Linked DNA regions of Danio rerio. The protein of the gene in region 2 interacts with the protein of the main gene of each other region in a pairwise test. Links are inferred from orthologs where the notes say so. Each region holds a gene or a part of one and is shown on either strand. Other genes may lie near its edges.

Region 1 (4,220 bases), on a different chromosome or scaffold from region 2:
GGTTGTGGCTGGAAGGGCATCTGCTGCGTAAAACACACTGGAATAGTTGACAGTTCATTCCGCTGTGGCGACCCCTGATAAATACAGGGATTAAGCCGAAGGAAAGTGAATGAAGGAACATTATCAGTTTTGAAGTCTCCAACCTTAATCCCTCTAGTGCTGTTCAAATTTGCATGAACGTTTGTGCTAATACCTTTGAAACTGTAAGAACTAATAAAAATGTAATTATTGTCTCCTCTAATTTCTTGGCTTCAAAGCATAGTTCACCTAAAAATGAGAAGTCTGTCATCATTTACTCTCCCTTCACTTGTTTAAACCTGTTTAATATGAGAAATTGCAATGATTTGTGTAGTAAGACACTATGGAATTTGCTTGCTGTGGAAGTCAATGGCTACGGGTTTTTAGTTTTCTTCAAAATTACTTATTTTGTTGTCAAGAAACTCAGAAAGGTTTATAACCACTTGAGGATAAGTAAATACTAAATAGTGAGGACAATTAGATTTTTGCAACGAATTAAGAAAAGTTATCATTCGTCATATGTTTTCAGTCATTTTGTATTTTTCCATTAATAAACCCTCTTCTGTGGGCTCATAAGGTAGTGAAGTGTCCATCATGTGCGAACTTCTTAGTATTCTCATCTGTCAACTGGTTTGGGTGTAATACTATAGCACACATACCGTTTTTCACATACGGTAATATAGCTGACAAAGCTAATGCTATTTGTCCACAACTGTTGTGTGTTAACCATAACCAGTGATGATTTGCACAGTTTGAGCCCTGATGAAAATCCCAAACTTTACTTTTTCTCACCATAAGACTGTGTGAACTACACATTTCCAAACCATGCTGGCAACACCAACACCTGAGGCTGTATCTTTGCAAGACTGACAACGCCACACTACACTAGTTTGGTAACAGCATCACCTATTGGTCAAAGTAAACTATGAAATCAAAGTGATTTTCTTTATTCACATTAACTATGTATTAATTAGGCTAATATTAACCTGATGCAGTGATGGTAATGTTTAAAAATAAATTATAGAGTTGTGCAGAAGGAGTGATTTTATTGTTTAGGAGCCTTTTGAATTTTTTTCAAAATCCACTTTCATTATAAAATGTTATTTTCTGCATTGTTAAGACCCCAGATGTCTAGGGCTAGAGAGAGGCGTAACTGCATATTATCAGTTAAACAAATCAAGCAGGTAGTTAGAATATTTAGTTGACTGGAAACCAAGAGATAGTGAAGAACATTCTTTATTTTCCAGCATAAACTATGTATTTTTTTATGTGTCTAAATCCAGATTTTTTTTTCCGAACGAAACAAATAATCCTGAGATTTTCAGAATGAAGGGGAAAAAACTGAGCAATAGGACCTACATTCAGCTCGCTAGATGGCGCCAGTCAGTTTTCATAGCACCTTCCACATTTCACCGCTGAAGTTTCGAGCAGGAAACGTTATCTGTGTTGTGAGGCGGCTGATGAAGAAAGCATGGCCCTTAACGCAGGTAAAATGTCAATAAACTCACATTTAGACAAATCTCTTGTTAAACTCCCCAATTTAGTACCGAAATAACCCTTAATCACTAACCTCCAGTCGTGCTATAGTAACGTTAGTACACGTGCAGCTGCGCTAAAATAACATCATGTTACGTTAGCAGGTTAGCCCCTCACTGTCTGCATTTCTGTACTGGCATGTGGCTTTTATTTCATTTAAAATATCGAGCTTTCTCTGTGTCTTTGCCTATTATTGACTCGTAAAGTTCCACGTACAGGAATCGCACGGGTGCTGAAAATACTTTAAATGCTGGAATTTTACTCTTGTGTTTCAAGGTTTAAAATGTACTTAGATTATGGATAAAGTACTTTAAAATGCGATTGTTCCTTTCATAATAATTTATCTTACTAAGCTGGTAATAATAGTATGAATAAATTAATTATAATAAAGATATGTAAATGGATGACAGCATAACTAAATGTTGGGGTTGGATCAAACCTGCTATCACATATTTTCCTTTTATTAAAGCTAAAAAAATAAAATTAAAAACGAAATTTTTCACATAGTATATTAATTATACTATAATTTACTGTACTATACTCTAGAATAGCTTCTGATATAATGTGATGAAGTGTTTTTTTTTTTTTTTTGCATATAGCACAAATTTAATTAACAACTACAGAACAGAGCACAAATAATAATCAAATCAATAAGATTATAATATAAATAAATACAACTTTAAACAGAATAGACACACAAACACATTCAAAAAAGAACTACCTGGTCGTCTATTAATTAAAATGTTTTCAATAAACTGAACTTCCTAATTTTGATTTTACCAACTTTAAAGCTTTACAGTATAACCAAAATTCCTTTTGGAAAACCCAAAACAGTGGTTTTGTTTTCAGGCACTTGCATTTATGAACATAAAATTTCTCCAAAATTAGAATATTGTTCAATACAACTTGAATATTAATATCTTCCCCTAATAAACCAAAGATAATATCATTTTTAGAAAATTGGGAGGACATCTTGAGAGAAACTTTTAACCACTCAAATGAATTTGTCTAGAAGGTTCTGCTGTATAAACAGTCAAAAATAAATATACAGTCTCTGCAGATGGTTAAATATCATTGAATATTTTAAAGTGTACTTCTTTAGCTTTGAGGAGGTATGGGGAAGGAAAGGAACATATTCCCTAATTCGATAATAGAGCTTATTATCTGAATACACTCTGAATAAAATCTTCTCCATTCATCAGCAAATAAGGTACGTCATTTTTATTGGGGGCCACAGTACTAACCATTATTACAAATGCCTTCAGAATAGATTTCAATACCCTATTGAATTGCTTATGATCACATTCAAAGTTATATTTTTCACAAAAATTTCCAGTAACTCAGAACCTCACCCTCTTTGTTTAATAGATGGACACTCAACCAAATACCTCTCTCCCACCAATCTTTATAGAAAGGATTTTTTTCTAAATATAATTAATGTGATGAGGTGTGCAGACGTATGTAAATATGTAATTTTCCACACTTTATAAAGTACTGAAAAAGTTTTAAAACACCTGGAAAGTGCTTAAGTGGGTGTGTGAATTAAATGAGCATTCGTCCATAAACAAGAGCATTCTGTGTGTGTTTTCCTGAATCCAGATGATGAAGACTTTGAATGGGAGCCTCCCTCTGAAGCAGAGATGAAGGTGATTCAGGCTCGCCGGGAGCGGCAGGATAAGATCAGCAAGCTGATGGGAGACTATCTGCTGAAGGGGTACAAGATGCTGGGCGAGTGCTGTGAGCTGTGCGGGGTGAGAGAAAACACCATACACTCATAGGAGACTCCAATCAAATCTGTGTTTTATTTAGTGCAATACAAGCTAGAGCCTTAATTTAATTATTAAATATGCAGTGAGGTACTGTGTTGTTAAGTTGTAGCCATGTTTGAATATTAAAACTTGCGATAATGACAAAAGATGACGTGCAATATTTTCAGTTCAGAATGTCTGAAAGTTTAATAATGTTTTTAATTAGTTTAGTTTATTTATTTACAAAGCGTAATAAAAAAAAAATTTTTAAGTTGTTGACCATTGTGCTGTACAAACCTAAAAGCAAATGATCAAAAATAGACAGCAACAAGTAAAACAACATAGAATACATCCAACATACCACACAGCATCATAGATACATAACAAGCGACCAGATAGGTACAATAGGATTAATTTTCTCCCAATTTAAAAGCTATTTCAAGGAGGTGTAGTTTAAGTTTCCCTCTGAACAAAGATTCAATAGAAACTTTTCTAATGGACGAAGGTAGCCTGTTCCACACTTTAGGACTTACTACAGAGAAAGCTCAATCTTCTTTTTTTATTCAATTTGGATCTGGGAACTACTAGCATTTTCTGGTTCGATGACCTTAAACATATGGCAGATATTTGAACTAATAAGATTAGAGAGATAAGTCAGAGCCTGGCCTTTTAATACCTTAAAAACAGACATTAAAATTTTAAACTCAATTCTAGGTCACAATTTAGGAAACACGGGATAGGAGTAATGTGTTCAAACCTGCGTGTACCAGTAAGAAGCCTTTTAAAAAGCCTTTCACTTTGGCTGATAATCTCAGCTGAAAAAAACCAAGATTTAACTACTGCATCTACCTGTGTGTCAAATAAGAGGACAGAATCTAGGATAAAACTTTGATTTCTTAAAGATGGTTTAATGCAGTC
Region 2 (3,500 bases):
TCCACAAATACTCACAGGTTTGTAGCAAACTCAGCATAAATCCTTTCCAGTTTCTGTTTGCAGATACTGACTTCCTCAGCTTTGGGAAGCTCGTACGCTTTAACAAGACTTGTCATTCCTACAGTGAAAAACATATTAAGAATTATCCATGTGATACAACAGTGTCACTTATATCAGTGTTTCAACCATGTTCCCGGAGGACCACCAACTCTGCACATTCTTCATATGTCTCCTTAACCAAACAAACCTGATTCAGATCATCAGCTCAAATAGCAGAGGCTGAAAAACCTGTAATGATGGTAACAATAGAGACATCCAAAACATGCAGTGTTAGTGGTTTCCAGGAACGTGGTTGAGAAACACTGACTTATATTATAAATGCAACAATAGTAAATTAACTTACTTGATGACAATAATTGTCCTAGCAGGTGCAAATTACCACCATTTTGGCAACAAGTAGTTTTATGGAAGGATATCCAGGACAATTTTCAAATGCAATTATAAATAGGATTGTTTTATGCAAGTAGCTCTGTTTTATTATACTAAATATTTTTTATGGTTCAGTCATAATTCTGGTTTGTGCAGTGTAATAAAAAACACACAACATATTAAACCATCATTAATATTTCTCTACTAAAAAAAAAAAATCATACTTAAGTAAAGATGCCATTACTTGCTTACAAATGTAGTGCGAGTTAAAGTATCTGTTGAAAATATTACTCAAAGTATGAGTTAAAAGTAGACATATCAAAAGTACTCGAGTAGTGAGTATTACCCTGTAAACGGCTGATGCATTTACATGCAATTTGTGTAAACTTGGCATTCTGTAGTGCATTTAGTTATTGCCCAGCAGCCACATAACGCTACAAGAAATCAGGTTAGATTTAGGTTGTGATGTTAGGTGACAAAAATTCAATGATTAACCAGTGTCTAAGCACATCATTATTTTAAATCAGCCTTAACAAATGTCAAATGATGTTGTTATTTGGTTGATTTAGGTTGTACACAGACATCGGCCTGATGTTAAGTTAAACGCAATGTCCTCACGCCACGACGTTGAGGTACAATGTCAGTCTAACACCATGTTAATGCCTTGTGCTTGCTGTGTGTTTTAAGGCCATTTTGGTCATCATACAGTAAGCATGTCATCTTCCTATTAGTGACATGCATCTAAACAGTCTCTGGGTCATTGCGTGTAAAGATTTTGGACATCTTCTTGGACACTTAATACTTCCAAACAGTTTGCTGCAATTATAAATAGCACATGTCTTGAGGTAGTTCATTAAGATGCAATTTACCCCTCTGTCCAATCAAATCGCACATGGAATCACAGGACTGATTTTTCTAATCCCCATAGACAAGAAACAATAAAGTAGTGACTGCAGATTGAAGGAAAGTAGAGGAATAAAGTACCGATACTGAATAAAACTATACTATAGGGAACGTAAAACAAAACAATTTAAAACTACTTAGTAAATTACAATTCCTGAGAAAGACTACTCAATTACAGTTATTTTGAGTATTTGTAATTTGTTACTTTACACCACTGCTTATTATACATATTACCCTGAACCTTATTATCATGTTTAACCACTGAAAATCTGAGGGGGTGAAGGTTTTGTAGCCATGTTTAGTGTTATTAACCTTAAGAAAGAGAAAGTTACTTACGTCTCATTGACTCATACATCTTTGAGAGGGTCTCTTTATCCTCCTTAAGCCCCATACATTCATTTAAATATCTGTAAATGTCAAAGAAAACGATGCTATATTAAGAAAATGTTCAATGTAGCTTTTTTTTTTTTTTTTTTACACAATACAAATTCCAGTATTCATTACATTATATAATTACAGTAATTAGTCAAACACTTCTGTGTTTTTTAATAAAACTGTTCATTTACATTAAAAACAGTACAACCCTAATTCAACCCTATGTCATTTTTGACTGACAAGAAAAGGGATGATGGTGGTTTTTCACCTTTTAATAATTATCATACTTGTATGAACTAAAACACACCTTGTAAAAACATGGTCATACAGTTGAAAGCAAAATGATTAGCCCTCCCCTGAAATTTTATTTTCAAATATTTTTATAATAATATAAAAATAGTGCTGTAGCGATGCGGTGGCACAGTAGGCAGTGCTGTTGCCTCACAGCAAGAAGGTCACTGGTTCGAGCCTCGGCTGGGTCATCTGGCGTTCCTGTATGTAGTTTGCATGTTCTCTCTGCGTTTGCATGGGTTTCCTGCAGGTGCTGCAGTTTCCCCCACAAGTTCAAAGATATGCGATACAATTAGAGTGTTTGGGTGTTTCCCAGTAATGGGTTGCAACTGGAAGGGCATCCACTGCGTAAAACATGCTGGATAAGTTGGCCGTTTATTCCGCTGTGGCGACCCCAGATTAATTAAGAGACTAAGCTGAAAAGAAATTCAATGAATAAAGTGCTGTTTAATGGAGGGAATATTTTCAACACATTTTTAAACACTGATTGCGTCCTTGCTGTGATGACAGTACATGATATTTTACAAGATATAAATATGGAGCTTAAAGTGTGATTTAAAGACTTAATTTGAATAGTTAGGGTAATTATGAACAGTGTATAAACAGGAATCAGAGAGTGAAATTTAATTCCTTTTAGAACCTTTTTTAAGACACTTTCCATATATCTTAAGTCCTTATCACCACTTTAGGTTTCAACCAGGAACATTGGCAACATTTTAACTTAAAGTATATTTACTCAATTCTGATTTTAAGAAAGATTATTTATACAGTATAATGAATATAAATGCTAATCCAGCGGGTGGCCCCTATAGACAAAAACTATTAAAAAACACAATCGTACAGTTTTGAATGGGGAAAAAAGTGTAACGTCAATATAATGAATAAAGCCCCACTTTCTAGTACAGGAGTCAATCAGATCGCTATTAGACTGATCAATCTGATGATGAAGACTGATGATTGCATGATGGCTTGGACCAGAAGAGAGTTTCTGTAGATTTTCTGTAGTTGTTGTTGTTTAATTGTTCAATTTTATTGGTGATTCTTAATACGAAATTTAATCGTAAGCATGACAAGCAATTTTGGAGAATTTTCAAAAAAAATGCCTGAGCATACTGCCCGAGAGGCTTTTTAAAGTGACTTGCCTTAAAGCAACTTTACAATAGAACAGCAGGAATAACGGCGTTGCCTTAGTTACTACAGTAAACAAATCAATGTGATGTTAAATCTAGCAGGATTTTATCGATTTCATAAACCACACAGCACCCCAGAGTTGGCAGATTAAAGGCAAAATTATCATACAACTACATTGTATAATCTAAATTTTAAGACAATGTAAAATAGCTTTTAAAATGTTTTAATACTTTTTTAGGACCTTAAATTTCTCTTAAATGGTTTATCAATTTTTAATACTTTATAAGACGCTGCAGACACCTTGATGAAAGTCATCGTACAACACAGGTTTGTTCTTTAGCCAATCAAAACTAAGGGGTCTAATAATGTTG

What was found. The genes of interacting proteins can lie anywhere in the genome.
Region 1: the proteins of ccnh (region 2) and znrd2 interact in binary tests that used the Homo sapiens proteins (3 or more experiments, as listed by UniProt). The two-hybrid records come from large-scale screens. The link is inferred for Danio rerio from reciprocal best matches to the Homo sapiens genes CCNH and ZNRD2.

The regions. Positions count from the first base shown.
Region 1 is NC_133185.1:31,775,179-31,779,398, forward strand, and holds the start of znrd2 (protein ZNRD2), read left to right. Parts: upstream 1-1,420; 5' UTR 1,421-1,489; coding exon 1,490-1,505; intron 1,506-3,153; coding exon 3,154-3,305; intron 3,306-4,220. UniProt on the Homo sapiens protein: Might play a role in mitosis. Antigenic molecule. Could be a centromere-associated protein. May induce anti-centromere antibodies.
Region 2 is NC_133180.1:52,024,819-52,028,318, forward strand, and holds part of ccnh (cyclin-H), read right to left. Parts: intron 1,740-3,500; coding exon 1,669-1,739; intron 119-1,668; coding exon 16-118; intron 1-15. UniProt on the Homo sapiens protein: Regulates CDK7, the catalytic subunit of the CDK-activating kinase (CAK) enzymatic complex. CAK activates the cyclin-associated kinases CDK1, CDK2, CDK4 and CDK6 by threonine phosphorylation.